Linked DNA regions of Caenorhabditis elegans. The protein of the gene in region 2 purifies or fractionates together with the protein of the main gene of each other region. This does not show direct contact. Each region holds a gene or a part of one and is shown on either strand. Other genes may lie near its edges.

Region 1 (7,457 bases), on a different chromosome or scaffold from region 2:
GTAAATCTATTGCTGAACAGGAGAAAGGAACTGACGAATATTGCCATTCTGCAATCATTGAAGCACCGAATTCCAGAAAATGGTGTATTATGAATACTAATACGCAGACGAGGAAAATATTTGATTGGATGGTTCGATTGAAGTGTCGGGTTGTTATTGAGTTGACCAATTTACGCGGTGGTAAGTCCTGTTTTGGCTTATAAGCTTAGACTTAGACTTAGGCTTATAAATAATTGAATTGAATTGTTTTCAGAAGAAGGTTGCCCTGAACTATCGCTAGAAGTGAAGGAACGTGGACAATTGATTTACACGTCAAAACAATTGAAATCGAAAATTCCCGGTTTATCAGTGTATAAAGTTCGAAGGATTGAAGAGTGTGTACATTTTTCCAACAATATTCACAAATTCCTAATTCAAATTTTAGTAATCATAGTTTCCTCTACTGGAAGTGTGAGAATATGCCACATGGATTTGTTTCATTTAATTTAGTTCCGTTTGCGAAGATGTATGAATCAACGTCCAGTGATAACGAGTATGCTAATGTAGGAATTGTTGCGGGAAATGTTGATACAAGAGCGACTATTTTACCATGTTAGTTTTATTTAACGGCTCCGGAAAAATGAGATGCAAGGTTGAAAACACTTGAAATATTAGAAAAATGATTTATTAGCCAATTGCTCTTTATATAATTTTTCTCGTCTTTACTGATTTCTCATTTATTGAATTTTCCGGGTGAGAGGTAGGGAAGCCGGGAACTTTTTTTCCTTTTAGTACCTATCTATGAAATGATTTTTCAGTGATTGACACATTGATGCACATCATGGGAAGCTCCCTGAATTTGGACTCGATGCTTCCGATCGCTGGATCTTGGATGGGAACTCAGAAAACAAGATCAATTGATTTGGTAGCGACTGCACAGATTGAGTTTGCACTCTATGTTTGCTTGAAGTTGGTTGCAGATGTAAGTTCAACATTTTTTTGAAATGAGTCCTATTACTGGAGTTTTACTATCAAGTCTATTGCGGTTCCTAGTTCTGGATTTCATTTATAATTTCCAGGAAAACACGTTCACAATGATCCCGATCGCTGCGTTGGAAACTGCATGGATGAAATCTTGGATTGAGAATCACGACATTTTCCAGAAATTCTATACATCTACGCGATTGACTTGTCCAGATGACAGAAGAGAACACTGGTACAAAGCGGGACTACAAAAATTGGCTGAAATTCGAGAAACTCTGCAGGAACCAGTCGCTTGCAAGTCAAACAAATTGGATAAGAAGAAAGATGGAAAAAAGGAGAAATAATGTCGAGAAGGTTGAAGCACTGAAGTAGACTATAGCACTTGAGAGAATAAAATGTGATTCATTTCTGTTCTGTTTTCAGCGTAAATTTATTGTTAAAGCTAGGGGTGTTGTGTGGGACGTGATGAGCCACCCCATAGCAACCTTAGCTATTCAAAAAACGTTTCCAAAATGCCATTCGAAAAAAGTGAAATAGCGGGCGAATGTTGAGGCGATGGAGAGGGATAGAATCCGGGTTGCGCGGCAATTGCGTTATTATGGGAGAGATCACATAGTTTCTACATCTTTTCACTAAAATTTAATGAAAAATATTGGGAAAACACATCTCTGCCTGAAATTGTAGAATTACCCGTCGGCAATCGCCGCGCACCTTTTGGTGGAATCAGGGGTGCCTTGTGGCTGATGTGGCTGTAAACTGATGACTAAAATCAAATATAACACATTTGAAGTTGCAAGCAATAAAAATCACATAATTCTTTATTCGGACAAGTTTCATTTGGATTTCAATGGCTTTTCTTTACTCTTTGGCAGTGCTCTATCATCAAATATTGGGATAGCTTCAGCAATGGATTTGTGGAAGAGAATTGAATCGTCACGAAACCTTAAAATTTTTTTTTTTCGGGGAGTAGTTCCAAAACTTACTTCAAAACTGCATCCGCGTGTTTCCCCTTCTGCTCATTAATCGACTTATTGATAAAGTCAATAACCTTCTGTCTGCACTCATTCCTCCATGTCTGAGCATTTCCCGCCGCGAGTTCGGCTTGCTCCGTTCGCTCCTTATTCTGCTGACTGATTGCGTCGTCGTAGGTTTCCAGCGAGAGCCAATAAACTGAAATTTTTTATTTAGATTCATATTATAGACCCTTTTATTCTTACTCTTTCGAAGCCTTGCGTACTCCCAATAGTCGACGCCAATGAATTTTGTCAACGCCGACAAGTTTTCCAGATGCCTTTGGACTTGCTTTGCTTGTATGGAATCCAGATTGAGCAAGGTTTGGATAGCCGGTTCTAAGCTCTGAAATTTGTGTCCTTATTATCAGGTGCCATTCCATAAGCCAAAAAATTGGGGAGCCTAAGCCTGATTACCTGGGCTTAAATGGTTTATTTGAAAAGCCTAAGCCTACATTTTAACATTTAAAAGCCCTTAGCCTAAATTGTTAAGCCTAAAAATCCAAGCCTAGAAAATATACCAAATTTCTTAGGTGCAAAAAAGTCGTTCCAACTTCCTCGATTTTCAACAGGATTCGCTCTAGAAACTGAATGTCGCGTCACTTTTCTGATCAATTCTGCAACTAAACTCACATCCATTTCTTTGGGGTCAACCTTCGTACCCAACTTTCTTCCTTTCTGATTTATCGCCTGATACGTCTTTAGATACTGCCCAGCGTACTGATAATTCGTATCAGCTTTCATAAGTTCCTGATTCTCAACGAACATTTGAATCAGTGCCTGATGAAGTCGATCTGCGGCTTCTTTATAAGCTTCAACTTGATTGCAAAGCTTCTTCACGTCATCAGTCATCGAAAACAAGCGATTCTTTTTCTTCAGAATCGACGAAAATACACCGTGATTTGGATGGTCCTGAAAACTCTCTTTTTTTTTCGGTTTCGGATTTCGGTTTCGGAGGCATCCAAAAACTTACAGCTAATCCATAAAATAATTTCTGAGCGATTGGCTTTTCATAGCAGCTACTCGTACTCTTCTTGTTTGCCATTAAAAATATAAAATAACTGAGATTGAGATTTCATGTCTGATAAACAAGTATGTTTGTCATCATAAAATGTGTCACGTAACAAAGCAATTTAAATTAGTAATTTTTTGTTTTATTTTTAACATTTTTTAGAAAATATTTGTGATTGAAATTTTGTGAAAAAATTTGAAATTTTTGCTTACTATTAGCTCCGTGTTTTACCAGTTAAATTGCTCCAAAGGCGGTTTTTGAAATTTTCTGTGGAAACTTTCTATTCAACAAAAAATCTAAACAGTTCTCTGGAAATTGTTCTATAGTTTTATGTATTATATTATTTAAAATTTTTATTATTTTTTTATTATATTATTTTAAAATCCGGGTTTGCAGATTTTATCATTTTTAAGATTAATATAAACCTACTGATTGACAAATTCCAAAATCTTAAATTTGTTTAACTGTACGCTTTTTAACATTTTCATACTTCTTGAACAATTTCAAATCATTTTTCTAGACAAATTTGCATGAGGCTTTCCCTATATATGTATTTTGAAAACTAAAATATAATATAAAGCGTTTATACCTTTTAACTACAGTATCCAAAAACATGATAAATATAGAAATTTGGATAACTTTTTGCTTTATTATGAAGCAATTTCATTCAGAGTCCAAATTTTAATTCTCCCACAATATTCAATCAGTGGCCGCTTACACATTAGCAGTGAAATGTTAGTCAGCAACTACATATCCTGTGGTCTGAGATAATCTGTACATGGAAAAATTAATCTAATTGTATGTAAGTGTCAAATCTTTCCCTCTTTGAATATGATATTTGATCCTTATGATTCAAACCAAAACGTTTCCCTTCTTTTCCTATTCATATGATTCACGCCAACCCCAATATCATTATAATTCGATTAAAAACAGACCTATATAAGTTCCTTCTTTTATATTATATTATATAATACCAATGCTTCCTTTCTAGATGTAGACCGCTATCTTCCCCTTTTCTTCTCTTTAATTGTAATTCAGTATTATATTCTTCTAAATAAATTAATCTCAAGAATTCATTTCTTGATAGTAAGTAAATAAAATAAATAATTCAAGCAGAAACAGACGACTATAGCATGAAGCACCCCCGGAAACCAGCAGAGGATGCAGAAACAAAGGTTGAGCCAAACTGACAGAGAGCATCTTTCCTCTTTCACGTAGACGGCGATTGGCGGAAAAATTAAAATGAGCAGAATGTAACAACACGGGCCGGTTTCTTTCATTTCAGCAAGATAGTGTTGCACAAAATATGAAAAATTAAGTTGTTTGGACAACCTTATATACTGGAGGAGTCTGTTAACGGTCATAAACCGGTGCCACAGCTTATGGTTAAACATCATGCAAAAACACTTTGATTGTGTGCTAAAGCATTTATTGAGTCGTTGCTGTGCCAGACGACGAGAGTCTTACTTTCGTCCGGCGCCAGCAGGCAAGGTCTTTCTCGACTGAGGATGTTATTCTCTAGTCGGCTTATATACTCGTGAGGGCGTGACGCTCCCTGCTCAGAGGCCGCGTGGGCGTTAGAGTCATGCGCTTTATGCACGTCTCCAAAGTCCACTCAGTGCAACATGAGAAGTGATCATAGAACACTTCCACAAGTCTATAAACTTTCAGCATCCGTGAAGATAAACTTTTCTTGATTTCAGATATTTTTGTTTAATAATTTGAACTGTAGATTTAAGAAAAAGTAAAATAAGTGCAAGATTGCTTTCTAAAGGGATCTCGAACTTAACACAATTTGGACTTCTTGCTGAAGTTATGAATTGATGGGTTTACCCTGCAACTGAGCCAACGCAACATTTTCAGTGCAAAAAACACATTTTTGGTTTTTTTTATTTCAAAAAAATATTTATAACTATCAACAATGTGACTAAAATAAACTTATAAATTATTTTTTCAGCAACTAGTAGTCTGATTCAGAACTATCGTCTTTTTCATCCGAAACTTCGTCCGGTTCCGTTGGATTGCCCATTAGCTCAGCTATTTTTCGAATTTGCTCTATTTCTGGAAAAACTTTATTGAATTATTGGGACTAAACTTTTAAAATTAAAAATCAAAAATCAAAAAACTTTTTTTAAATCGATTTTTCTACATACCATTTCTTGAATTGAGTATCCTTTTTCCTACATAGCAAAGCTTTTTAAAAGTTCAAATTTGTTTGTAAACCTTCAATTAAAAAAAAAATTTTTAAGACTAGCGCACAAAGTGCGCTATCCCTTCGGGAGTGGGGATAGGGTTATTTCGCTCTAAAGTATCAACAAGGTAGCTGGCGCAGGTTCTCGGCTTTGCCTCAAACCTGTGTTGGGGTTAAGTGTGTTCACCTTGAAATTCAAAATATATTCCAAAGATTTGTTTCTAATTTAATATTTTGAAAAATCATTTAGCGGCTCCGGCGCTTTAGTTTTCAGTTCCTCTAAGATTAAAGAAATATTCTAAGGAGTTGTTTCACATTGAAATATTCTTAAAAATTATTTGGGCGCTAAGTTGAATCTTCTCTAAGATTAGAAAAATATTCTAAGGAGTTGTTCTAAATTCAAAAATTCCTAAGAGTTATCAGCGCCTTCGGCGCTGAATTTTTCAAAGTTTCTGAAATAAAGAAACATACTAAGGAGTTGTTTCTAATTTAAAACTTTGAAGACTTATTCAGCGCCTTCGTCGCTGATTTGAACTATTTCTAAGATTGATGGAATATGCTAAGGAGTTGTTTCTAATTTAAAAATTTTGAATAATTATTTAGCGCCCTGGGCGCTGAATTTTCAGTTTCTCTAAGATGAAAGAAATATGCTGAAAAGATTTTTCAATTTTAAAAAGAAAATGTAAAAACATAAAAGATATTTCGAAAACTTTGATGAGGAGATGAAATGTTAGTTTTTTTTCATAACTTTTTCATTTTTAAAGCTGGAAAAAAATCTTACATATTTGAATTCAGCGTCAAATTCTGAGTCTATTAAAAAAAACAGAATTAAAATTAAACTTAAACAAACCAATTAACAAACGCTCAAAGTTGAAAAATCAAAAATCAAAAAAGGCATTATTTTTCTATTCGGTCGATTATCTCTGTGATGTATGACTCGATTTTCAAAATTTTTTTCGTCTCTCGCTTAAGAAATCTTCAAGGTTTCATATATTTGGCTCAGAATCAGAATAGCTCAAACGACGGCAAAGTTATGAGAGGGAAAAAAAAAGTTTTTGAACAAAAAATTACAGTACACCTACCGTTTACCACCTACAGTACCCTACCGTTTATCACATACAGTACTCCTACAGTATAATATAGGAAGAAGGCAGAAACATCTCAAATCTCAAAAACCCAATACTGAAGCTGCTAAAAATTCATCTGCCCGGAATCTGAATCATCGGTACCAAAAATTCACATTTTATTATACAAAGTATTTAAAAATTTATACAAAAATTCACCATTTTCCGATAATTTCGCTTTGTTTCCAACAACTTCCACTTTTATTTTCAGATTTCCCTCATATTCGACACCTGAAAATTTTTTTTTCTGAATTAAGAAAAAGTAAAACCCACCACCAACTTTGCTCCAGTTCTCGCGAAAAAGTAGACTATGAATACCTATAAAAAGCATTATTTTCTATTTAAAAGTTGAATTTAATGTGATGAATATATAAGCTTATCTGTTTCCATGACAACCATTTCCTGAATAAAAATTCAAGGATTAAAAAGGAAAATTTAACCGATTTTTACTTGCAAAATAATGAAAATGATGCTCCAAAAAGCACATGAAGTACTAGAAGCACTCGTTCTACTAGGACAAAAACTAAGAAAAGAAGTTCATCCCAACGCTGATGAGCAACAACCAACTGTTCCGGCTCCTGCTGCAACACCAGCTCAAATCGAGCAACAGCCAGAAGTTCCGGCTCCAGCTCCAACAGTTCCAGATGTTCAACAGCCTGTCCTGGTTCCAGAAACTGCTCAACTCGTTCCACCATCAGCTACTCTTTTTTATTTCATAAAACTGTTCAGCATAGTCAAAAATACCAGAATATGCTAATCAAAGTATAATAGCTAGTACGGAAGTATTTTTTAAAAAATTTATAAAAATTTATAAAAGCTGATTTTTTCAAAAATTCAAAAGTCCTGGAAAATCATAAGGAGTCATTCTTTTTTGTATTTTTGACTATGCTGAACAGTTTTTTGAGATAAAAAAGAATGACTCCATATGATTTTCCCATACTTTTGAATTTTTGAAAAAATCAGCTTTTATATATTTTTATCAATTTTTTAAAAAATACTTCCGTACAAACTATTATAATTTGATAGGCATATTCTGGTATTCTTGACTATGCTGAACAGTTTTTTGAGATAAAAAAGAATGACTCCATATGGTTTTCCCATACTTTTGAATTTTTGAAAAAATCAGCTTTTATATATTTTTATCAATTTTCTAAAAA
Region 2 (9,516 bases):
CGACTAGAGAAATTAAACTAAAACTACGAGCTGATTATGAACAGTTAAAACCTAGGAACAGGAATGGTTATAAGTTGTCTTTTAAAAACTCGTAGCATGCAAATACGAATACCATATACCAAAAATACGGTCGCCGGTCTCGACACGACAAATGTATTGTATAATGCAAAAAGGTGTGCGCCTTTAAACAGTACTGTAGTTTCGAAATTTCGTTTCTAAGGAATTTTCATAGATTTTGCTTAGTTCTTCGCACGATTTGTCAACGTTCCTTGTTTTGTTTTAGGTTCAAAACAATTGTATCGAACAATTGTTGAAAATCGATGAAAATTTCGCAGCAACGAAATTTTGAAAGTACAGTACCCTTTAAAGGCCCAGACCTTTTTTGTTTGAAAAAAATTGTCGTATCGAGACCGGATACCGTATTTTCGATACAAAATCATATATTATACTTTTCCGAAAATCTTCAATACCGATTACAGTAATTTATTGTCTTTGTGGTGAGACCTTTGCGCGTAAGATAGTGCGAAGAGTTCCATTTTTAGACGACAATGTAATATTTATATATATTTGAAATATTTGAAAGACATTTTCAGAGTCATAATGAAAATGAATAATTCGAAAATCTCTTAAAACATTCCAGTATATTCGTATTTTAGTGATTCAGTCTGTTTGGTATCGCATATTATTTTAATCCGAATATCCCGATGATTGTGCGCAGTCCTTGTACTCTGGTCGATCCCATATATAAATTTGTGTTTTTAACGAAAAAAATGTTAACCCCTCGGCCTCCGCCCCAATGAGTAAATGACACGGATATAAAATCGAAACTAGTCGGATCATCCTCACAATATTTTGCCGACAGTATTCATGACTCTTTTCTAGTTTAAATTTTCTCTTTTTTTTCTGATTCAAATTCATTTTTCTTTGATTTAACACATTTTTTGAATGATAAATTTCAGATTATCCAACAAGAAATGCTTTTCCGATTCTTTTTATTAATTGTCGCTATCCTCACCATTGTGAATGCAGGCGAGCCAGAACATGGAGCTCCTCCACCAAATGGAACAGATATGGGAAATGATACAATGCTAGAAGCACGAGCTGGGGGACCACCAATGGATGGTATGAATGGAACTGTTGTTCAAGAGAATGGAAACAAGACTGGTAAGTATAAGGTTTTATTTTACATACCGTTTTTCTTCTATCAGTAATATGACACACTATATAACTTTGCAAGGTAATCTCGGTTCATTTCAAATATGTCATTTTAGAAATAACAGCAAAACGATAAAAAATAAATAATAGATATTTTATCAGTTGACAGTTTTTGACTAGAACAAACTGCAATTGAGATATAAGCTGTCAAAGTTAAGAGAAAATATGGTACCTCCACGTAGATGCCTGCTGCCTAAAATCGTGCCTACTGCAAAAGCTGAAAAATTTTTAAATCAAGCAGGCACGTGCGCCTAAAAATGTGCTATATGTGACTGTAAATTGCAAAATAAAGATTCAAATACATTTGTATTGATTTTAAAGTTTTATTTACAGGAGGAGTGATGGATTGGATCAAATCAAAGCTTGGAAAGTAGACAAATACAACTGAACTTCTCATTTATGCAATTACTTTTGTAATATTTAATATTGGAAGAAATGAATGTTAAGTTAAAAATTAATTGAATGCAAAATTACAAAACAGGACTCAATCCTGTTATGGAAGTTTGAGATTTGGCGCGAAAATTCTCAATCGGTGGAACTTTTTTCATGGGCGACGATTTTTCGGTTTTCGGGATGTTTCTTTTTTCCCATTTCGCAATTATCGATCGGATTCGTTCTCCTTCTTTCTTTTCTCGTTCCAGTTGACGAATTCGAGCGTCTTGTTCGTTCATTCGCTTCTGAAATTAGAGGTTTACAGTGGATTCTAGAAAAAAATGTTTTGACTAGATACAGGGAAATCCTAGAGTGTTTTAGAAACTTGGCAACTTGCCAAATAAAAAAACACAAGATCGCACCCAGTGATTTGCGGCTCATTTAAAAAAAAATCAAATCAGAGAAATACAATTTTCCTAATTGTTGTGTTTTGCAAAAGTTAAAACACTTTTTTTCATACCTTTAGATTGGTCTTCTCAATATCCGCTGCTTTCAGTGTCTCAATGGTCATTGTTGCCAAAAGATCCTTATTCAATTTATCCATTTTATCAATTGTTTTCAGAGTATGTCGCTCCTGTAAAACAATAAGTTAATATTTTTCCAAATCAAACTTCTACTTGAATAATCTTTGCTGCAGCTGCCACTGGCGAAGCTGGCTGTTTTTTGTCGGAACCGCCACCGCTTTTCCCTGATTGAAAATCTTTTCTCACACTTTGAAGTCCACGGAAAATGTTTTCAGACTGAAAATTGTAACAATTTCCAGAGATTGCTAACTGGTTTTAAGGAGAACTCACAATCAATCTATTCTCATTGACTACAACTCGATAGACAGACTCTTGAGCAATAAGTTCTTCAATTCGATCAAAAATTGCATCGAATACGCCTCCAACATTAACATTTAACAGTTGAGATACCTGGAAATTAAACAATTGAAAATATTTCTAAAAAACTAGATTTTACTTTGGAAATACAGTTTTCTAGAGATGCAATTTTATGCTCCAAATTCTTCCGTTCTAGATCACTTGCCAACAATTCTTGCTCAAGCTCCTCAATTTTCTCCATCGATTTTGAGTATTCTTCTTCTGAAACTCTTGCTCTAAAAAGAGCATTTCTTTGTTGTTTTGCCTGCTCCAAGAGAACTCCTTCAGCATTTGATGCTGCCTTTTCAGCCTCAAATCGTTTTGTCTGTTCAGTATCTCGTTCACGGACAAGATCTCGGATAGTTCTTTTCACATTATTTTCGGTTGCCTCTTCTTCGGAATTCAACAAAACTGTGAGAGTTTCCAATAGACTTTTTCGCTCGGTTTCAGCAGATTTCAAAAGAATTATATTATTTTTATTAGATTGAGACATTTCCTGAGAATAGGAACGAAGGCAGCGAATTTCAGCTTTAAGCATTTCAAGTTCCATTTTCTGCTCGTTTATTAAAGAGTTTAGTAGAGTGACATCATGGTTTATACGATTTTCATGGTCTTGGCGGATTGCTATTTCCTAGAAAAATTAAAATTTAGTTATAGAAATAATTACTTAAGTTGAGCAACTTACTTTTTTGCAGATTCCTTGAATTTCTCTACTCTGCTCTTTGTTAATTTCCAAGTGATCCATCAAGGTGGAAACATGGTTCTGATTAACAGTCAATGAAGATGATAACTGAAAATATTTAATTGATGGATCACATATCTGGAATTTCGTAATTTTTCAGATGTTCACACAATAATTTCTCACTACAGAAACGTAGCGGATCTCGAAAAAACAAATCTCGAAAAATGTTTTTTTTTTGTGATGGGACAACCTGGCATCATCTGTCCTCCACTAGCAGGCTTGTGCAACTGATGAGGAGCACTGAAAGAGGTGAAGCGGGCTTATATTCTCCAAATACCGAATACTCAAGCAAGGAAAACTCGAGGAGGCATCGCAAGAAACATTTTTACTTTCGACTTAGCTTATTGCCACTTGGCAGAAAGCATAAAAATAAATGTTCTAAACTCTCCACAATCTGGATTCTGGAAGCTATTGAAAATATGATTGAGGGTCTAATATATGATTGATAAGCCGGAAGTACGTTGAAAATTATTGGGAAAATATTGCAAATTCAGGCACCGGACGTCCGACTTTGTCCGGTCCTATCCTAATGATTCCCAAAAAGTAAAATTCTTAAGTTGTAACTTAAGTTGTTAAGACAATTTTTCAAATAGTTTATTGAATGCATTTTCAAAAGGATTCATTATTTTATTCTGTTCAGCAAAAGGTTCAAGAAGTATTGGGATGGTGACAGTTCCAGCCGGCTGAACAGCTGCGAAGGCGGCTTGTGCATTGGCAAAGTGAATGACAAGCTTGTCCTCTTTTAGAGCACCAGATTTGCTCATGAATATGAGCTTGTCAGCTCCACCATTGACGAGCTTGTGGGTTGATGTACCTCCGGCGGCAGGCACTGTGCATGCTGGTGGATTGGTAGTCTTTGAACACCGTATCACATCCGGTGTTCGGTTTCATTGATCCATCTGGAACCACGGATGTCGTCATCACTTGTACTGCTGGTGCTCCAAAAGATGACAAGCTTGTCATTCACTTTCCCATATCTCCAGCCAATGCCACTGATGCTCAAGCCGAGACATGTTGTCGCTACGGTGGAAGGTGCTTCTAGGAAGACTGATTGAATTTGCAAGATTTCAAAGAATATATACCCTGATCTTATAAAAATTTAAAATTCACGAATATATTATTTTAATAAAAATTGAAAAATATTAATTTCTTCAAAGTCAGAAAAGGTCAATTTTAAAACGTGGAAACACTTATAATCGTAACCTTGTTTTTTTTTGAATTATTTTGTTCACAAATCATACAATAAAAAAAAATCAAACATAATTTATTCCTTAACAACAGTTTCGTTGGGAACTGGTTTCTCTGAGAAGCCTATAAGGTGAGTTATTTATTTCAATTATGGCGTCTTTGGAGTAAAGGCATGGAGGAAAGTCGCCTGCCGTGCCTTTTGCCTATTGCTTCCTGTCGTTTCGCGGGTTGCGCTGTCACTGTGCAATGGCGGCCGGCTTTGATGCTAACTCGTGCTCCGAAGTAAAGAAAAACTAATCCTTGTATTTTCAGAGAAACAAAAAACATTGAGAAATGGCGGACGACAATGTTTCATTCACGGATCAAGGGACTGCTGTCGGAGATGAGAAGAAGAAAGGAGGATCTTCTGCAATGCTTGACATGCTCGGACAGTTGGAAAAGAAGGAGACAAAGAAGAAAGGAAAGAAGAACAAGAAGAGCAAGAAGAAGGCGAAGAAGGGAAAGACCAAGAAGGTTCGAAAAGCAGACAAGTACGAGTCTCAAAACTTTCTGTTTCGAGTGGAAGGAGCCATGTTCTGTGCGGGAATTAGTTAGTTTTCAAGAAAAAGTTAAAAATTTATCAATTCAAACTTTCAGTCGTTGCTATGATTATGCTGTTCGTCATCATTATCTACGGAATAATCACTTCAAGTCAAACTGGAGGACAGTTCAACAGATACATGGCCCCACTATTCTGATTGGATCAGGACAGAGAAATGGCGCAAGAGACAAGTCGGCTTACTTTTTTGGTGCACATTTTAAGCACAATAAATTCATTTATAAAGCCCGGTGTTTTATTTATTTATTGCTATTATTGAGTAAATACTCAATCAGAGAAAATATTTAATTATTTCAACTAACCTGTTGCAATTTCTCTTTTAAAATCTCATTTTCCTGCTTCAAACTTATGCATTTCTCTTGATACTTCACAATTTCTTGCTCCAAAACGTCCATGTTGAATTGACTTAGACTTCCATCTTGTTCTTCATCCGGGTTTTGGAAGTATTCTTCATCCAAATTGAGAGTTGAGACAACCTTTTGATGAAACGTTTTTTGTGAATTCTCAATTTCTTCTAGCTTTTTCTGAACTTCATTCAGTTCTTCAACGAGTTGTTTATTTTGAATTTCCATTTCCTGACTTTTAACCTGCCATTCTTCTTTTGCTTGCACAGTTTCTGCCAGTTCAAGTTCTAATTCTGGGAGCCGTTTCGAGTTTCGTGTCGCCCGATCTTTCCATTTTTCAGCTTCAGCTTCAATCTCTTTCCGAGCTTTTTCATTCGCCTTGAGCCGTCGTTCCAAACTTTCCAACTTCACTTTTGTTTGTCGCTCTGAGCGGTTTTCACGGATGGTATAGGTAGCGGCTACCTGAAAAACTTTATGGAATACGTGTAAAACCGTTGTAAATGTGCTCACTGAATCAGGTGACCGAAGATCCTCACGCGACATAGAAGCATCACCCGCTCGTTTATATGGTGAAGTTCGAGGACGTAGAGTCTGTAACGAAAATTTAAAAAATTGCAGAAACCCTATCTTTTTCACTCACTGTTGTTATTTTATTGCCACGAATGTTCAATGTAGATGTGACCAGAGCTTCTGATGATAAATCTAATTGATGGATTGATTCCGAAGCGGGATTTGATCCTAAATATGGTTAAAATGATACAATTTCCCAACTTCTGAATTACCAATTTCTTCATGATCTTCTTCGACAGCATTAACAGCAGCTTTAACCTCTTCCATAATTCAAAGTAGTGTTTTATTCCTAAACTTAAAGACAAGTAGTTGGAGAATATGAAATTAAGTTTAAAAGATGTCGAGGACACCTCACAATTTGCCTGTGCAATGAGCCAGCTGGTAATTGGGTGCGAACGAGAGGAAACTGGTGAAATGAAGGAGAATTTGCATAAGTAAGTGAACAGGAAGTGGGGTTTGTAGAATATTAACTTTATAAAGTTGTTGAAACTTGACAATTAGGGTTCATGTGAAAATTATATAGATTTAAATCCTGTAAATACAAATCCAGTCGAACTGTTTGTGCTCTGGAAATTAAATATGTGAAGTTCCAAGGAAAATATGTTTACTTTTTCAATAAAAATTTCTTTTTCCATTTTAAATAGCACATTATTGATCTTATAGCTGATTGTAATCAATGATTGAATCTTTCCATTTGGTGTAGATGTTGGCTCGAAAATTGTGAATATCTAAAAAAGAATCAAATCTGGAATGTCCAAAAAGCACTCACCTTGAAGCTGGTTTTAAACTCATTATCACCCATTAAAGCAAAAACATTGTTCGGTGACAGAACTAAAAACATGAATCATTATTTATGAATCAATAAACTATAACTTTTAAAATACATTTTGGTTGAAAAATGGTGTCCAATATCACTTGCTTCTGTTCGAAAAGCTGACGAAATTGGTAAACCCGCATGTTGGTCAAGTATTCTGCGAGAGTTTGAAGTTGTAGATTCACAATTCTGAAAATTTTGAAACTACTGAAAAGTTAATTTCCTCAAATTTAAGCTCACTGAAACCGATTCACTCTCGTTAACTTGTTTTCTGAATTTGCTAGGGGAAAACATGTTTGAATAAAAATATAAGTGAAGATGAACCTTCTAATATTCAACATTACTCTTATTTTTAAATGTTAAATGGCAGCGAAAACGATGTATGTGATAGCTATAGCTATTTTATTGTTCCAACGGTTCAATAAAATATTCCGTAAAAAACTGTGGACAATGGGTATAAAAACTATTATTCTAATACAAAAAAATCTCACGACATTTCAGGAAAAAATTTGAATTGAATTTTTCGGATTTTTCATATATGAAATAATGCCTGAGTATCCCGCCTAATTTTTATAGTTTCAGACATTAAAAAAATGAAAAACTACTATTGTAATTGGCTTTAGCATATCAAAAGCGCACATTGCGAAATAACTGAGCTGAGAGATTTCACCCTTTTTTGCTTATTTTTTATCATGATATAAATACATGCTGAATCCGACTTCAATATTGTTTTTTTCATAAGAATTCCGAAGAAAGATCTCCCACAATCAAGGTTTTCAATTGGGATGTCTGTAAAATTACATTTTTTATTGCAGCAGTTTTTTACAGTGTTTATTATTTACCAAGAACTCATATTGTTCTTTTTCAATTTGCAATGAATGACAGAAATCACTAAATTAAGATATGACATGAACGTGAGCTGCAGCTCCCAGACTTGAAAAAATCTTCTAGCTCAATATCAACAGCTGACTTTGATTTATTGAGATTTCCTAAAATAAATAGTATGAATTTTTGGAAATAGAATTTATACTTATTCCCGTACAATACGTTTTGATTAATTTGCTCTAAATCGGAAGTTGGCAAACATTTTTGGTTTAAAAACAGCTCAAAGCAAAGCATTTGTATATTTATTGTTGCTATTGTTGTTCTTCGTTTCATTGAAAAATTGAAAATGAATATCGAAAACAAATGTGATTTGGCCTTCGAAGTCACCTATCATCCATTATATCGGGCTGCTCAATTCTGGACTTTTATTTTTTCAACTCTAGCAGTTCCTGCACTTTTTATTTTTCTATTGAAGCAAATTTTTCCACTTCCATTTCATGGGAATATAAAATTTATGTTAATTTCTTATTTTTTGTCCGCTTTTTTGTTCGCAGTTGTTCTGGCTCTAACGTTTGTAAGTTGATGATAGTTCCATAGTTTTAACAAATAAGAGGCTCAACAGTAACACAAGTTCTTGTGAAGTTTTTCTAAATTTTTCAGGGCTATCACATACTGGTTCCACTATTCATCACCTCAAAATGTGATTTAATAATTCAGCCATATTTATTTAAAGTTGGTCAATTATCCTTAACTTTGTTTATTACTCTTCAAATGATAATGCCGTTTGGATTTTCAATTGAAAGAATAATTGCGTTACGCATGGCTAAAAGTTATGAAAATGTTCGTACAGTATTAGGACCACTTTTGATTTTTGTATTGGTAAGTTACGTTTTAAATCTTACTTTTGTTATAACACAAATTTGTCAGATTGGAATTGATCTGATATTACTTTTTACGGTTTTTCGAGACGAAAGTTTTAATGATAGTTTCATTTCATTTATTCTCATTCCTGCAACTACTGCACAGACGTTTAATAGTTATTGCTGGATTCTTCTATATGCGGAACTTGGAAATTTACTTTGTAATTGCATAATTCTTCTGGTTCACAGCAAATTCAAAACAAAGTGAGTTCATTCTAAAATAGGTGTTCGAAATTTTATATTAAGATTTCTCCATCAACAACGATCTTTGTCTGTACGATATGAACTAGAAGAAATATCCCAAACTTCAAAATTCACGCTTATTGTTAGTTTCACACATATTCTATTTATTGGATGGTATCTTGGTGTAACAATTTTCATAAGAACTGTTGGGGAAACATTTTTTGGTAGTTATATCAACTACACAGTGGCCAGAGGTGTTTACATCAGTGTACCAACATATAATCTAACTATAGTTTTTGTTGGAATCAAGGCATTAAGTTTTATGAATCTGAAAAGGCAAAATAATGTTCAAAGTAAAGTTCAAATCAAATCGACAGGATCAGAAGGAGCTCGAAATTATGAAAATGCAATCGCAAGTTATTGGAATTCTGTGTCGAAAGCTTAGATGTGTTCAACTGTTTCAATTTTTTTGTTCAAACTTTCAATTAAATTGCAAATATTTTTTGAAATATGTACTACGTATTAGTTTTACCAATAAAATGTTTCAATATATGCATAATCTTCTCCTAAAATTGTTTTTGTTAAGGCATATTGTCATAATTTGAAGTTTTTGTCATAATTTGAAGAAAAATAATGGTATTCCGGAAATGATCCAGAGAGTTGAGGCCAAGAGTTGAAACATTCAAATTTGAGCTACACCTAGACGGGTTTTGAAGTTGTAGCCGACTTTGATTTATAAGGTAATATAGTTCAATTCTCTGAATCAGAATGTTTTATCTTTTTGCGATATGGAAATAATTGGCATAAATCAACAGTGCCACAATT

Evidence for each region.
Region 1: the proteins of C27D6.1 (region 2) and Y37F4.1 fractionate together in Caenorhabditis elegans (co-fractionation; one large-scale study listed by BioGRID). This does not show direct contact.

Annotation. Positions count from the first base shown.
Region 1 is NC_003279.8:10,855,109-10,862,565, reverse strand, and holds Y37F4.1 (BAR domain-containing protein), read right to left. Parts: upstream 4,480-7,457; 5' UTR 3,921-4,479; intron 3,758-3,920; 5' UTR 3,575-3,757; intron 3,055-3,574; 5' UTR 3,019-3,054; coding exon 2,947-3,018; intron 2,886-2,946; coding exon 2,607-2,885; intron 2,320-2,606; coding exon 2,181-2,319; intron 2,134-2,180; coding exon 1,947-2,133; intron 1,906-1,946; coding exon 1,797-1,905; 3' UTR 1,768-1,796; downstream 1-1,767. Other genes in the region: Y37F4.5 (START domain-containing protein), read left to right, coding at 1-180, 254-374, 425-591, 798-961, 1,059-1,307; Y37F4.2 (Sec-independent protein translocase protein TatA), read right to left, coding at 4,946-5,046, 6,460-6,531, 6,574-6,631; Y37F4.4 (Signal recognition particle-docking protein FtsY), read left to right, coding at 6,767-7,057.
Region 2 is NC_003280.10:5,169,451-5,178,966, reverse strand, and holds C27D6.1 (uncharacterized protein), read right to left. Parts: upstream 6,217-9,516; coding exon 6,162-6,216; intron 6,118-6,161; coding exon 6,020-6,117; intron 5,971-6,019; coding exon 5,890-5,970; intron 5,842-5,889; coding exon 5,338-5,841; intron 5,258-5,337; exon of another isoform or gene 5,175-5,257; coding exon of another isoform or gene 5,074-5,174; intron 5,027-5,073; coding exon of another isoform or gene 4,771-5,026; exon of another isoform or gene 4,750-4,770; intron 4,568-4,749; exon of another isoform or gene 4,527-4,567; intron 3,298-4,526; coding exon 3,193-3,297; intron 3,139-3,192; coding exon 2,608-3,138; intron 2,562-2,607; coding exon 2,442-2,561; intron 2,388-2,441; coding exon 2,265-2,387; intron 2,222-2,264; coding exon 2,108-2,221; intron 1,893-2,107; coding exon 1,686-1,892; 3' UTR 1,590-1,685; coding exon of another isoform or gene 1,549-1,589; 3' UTR 1,527-1,548; downstream 1-1,526. Other genes in the region: pugs-1 (uncharacterized protein), read left to right, coding at 975-1,164, 1,549-1,589; C27D6.3 (uncharacterized protein), read left to right, coding at 4,771-5,026, 5,074-5,174; C27D6.15 (uncharacterized protein), read right to left, coding at 6,465-6,677, 6,719-6,780, 6,823-6,952, 7,004-7,057; srb-1 (Serpentine receptor class beta-1), read left to right, coding at 7,935-8,162, 8,249-8,467, 8,516-8,712, 8,755-9,136.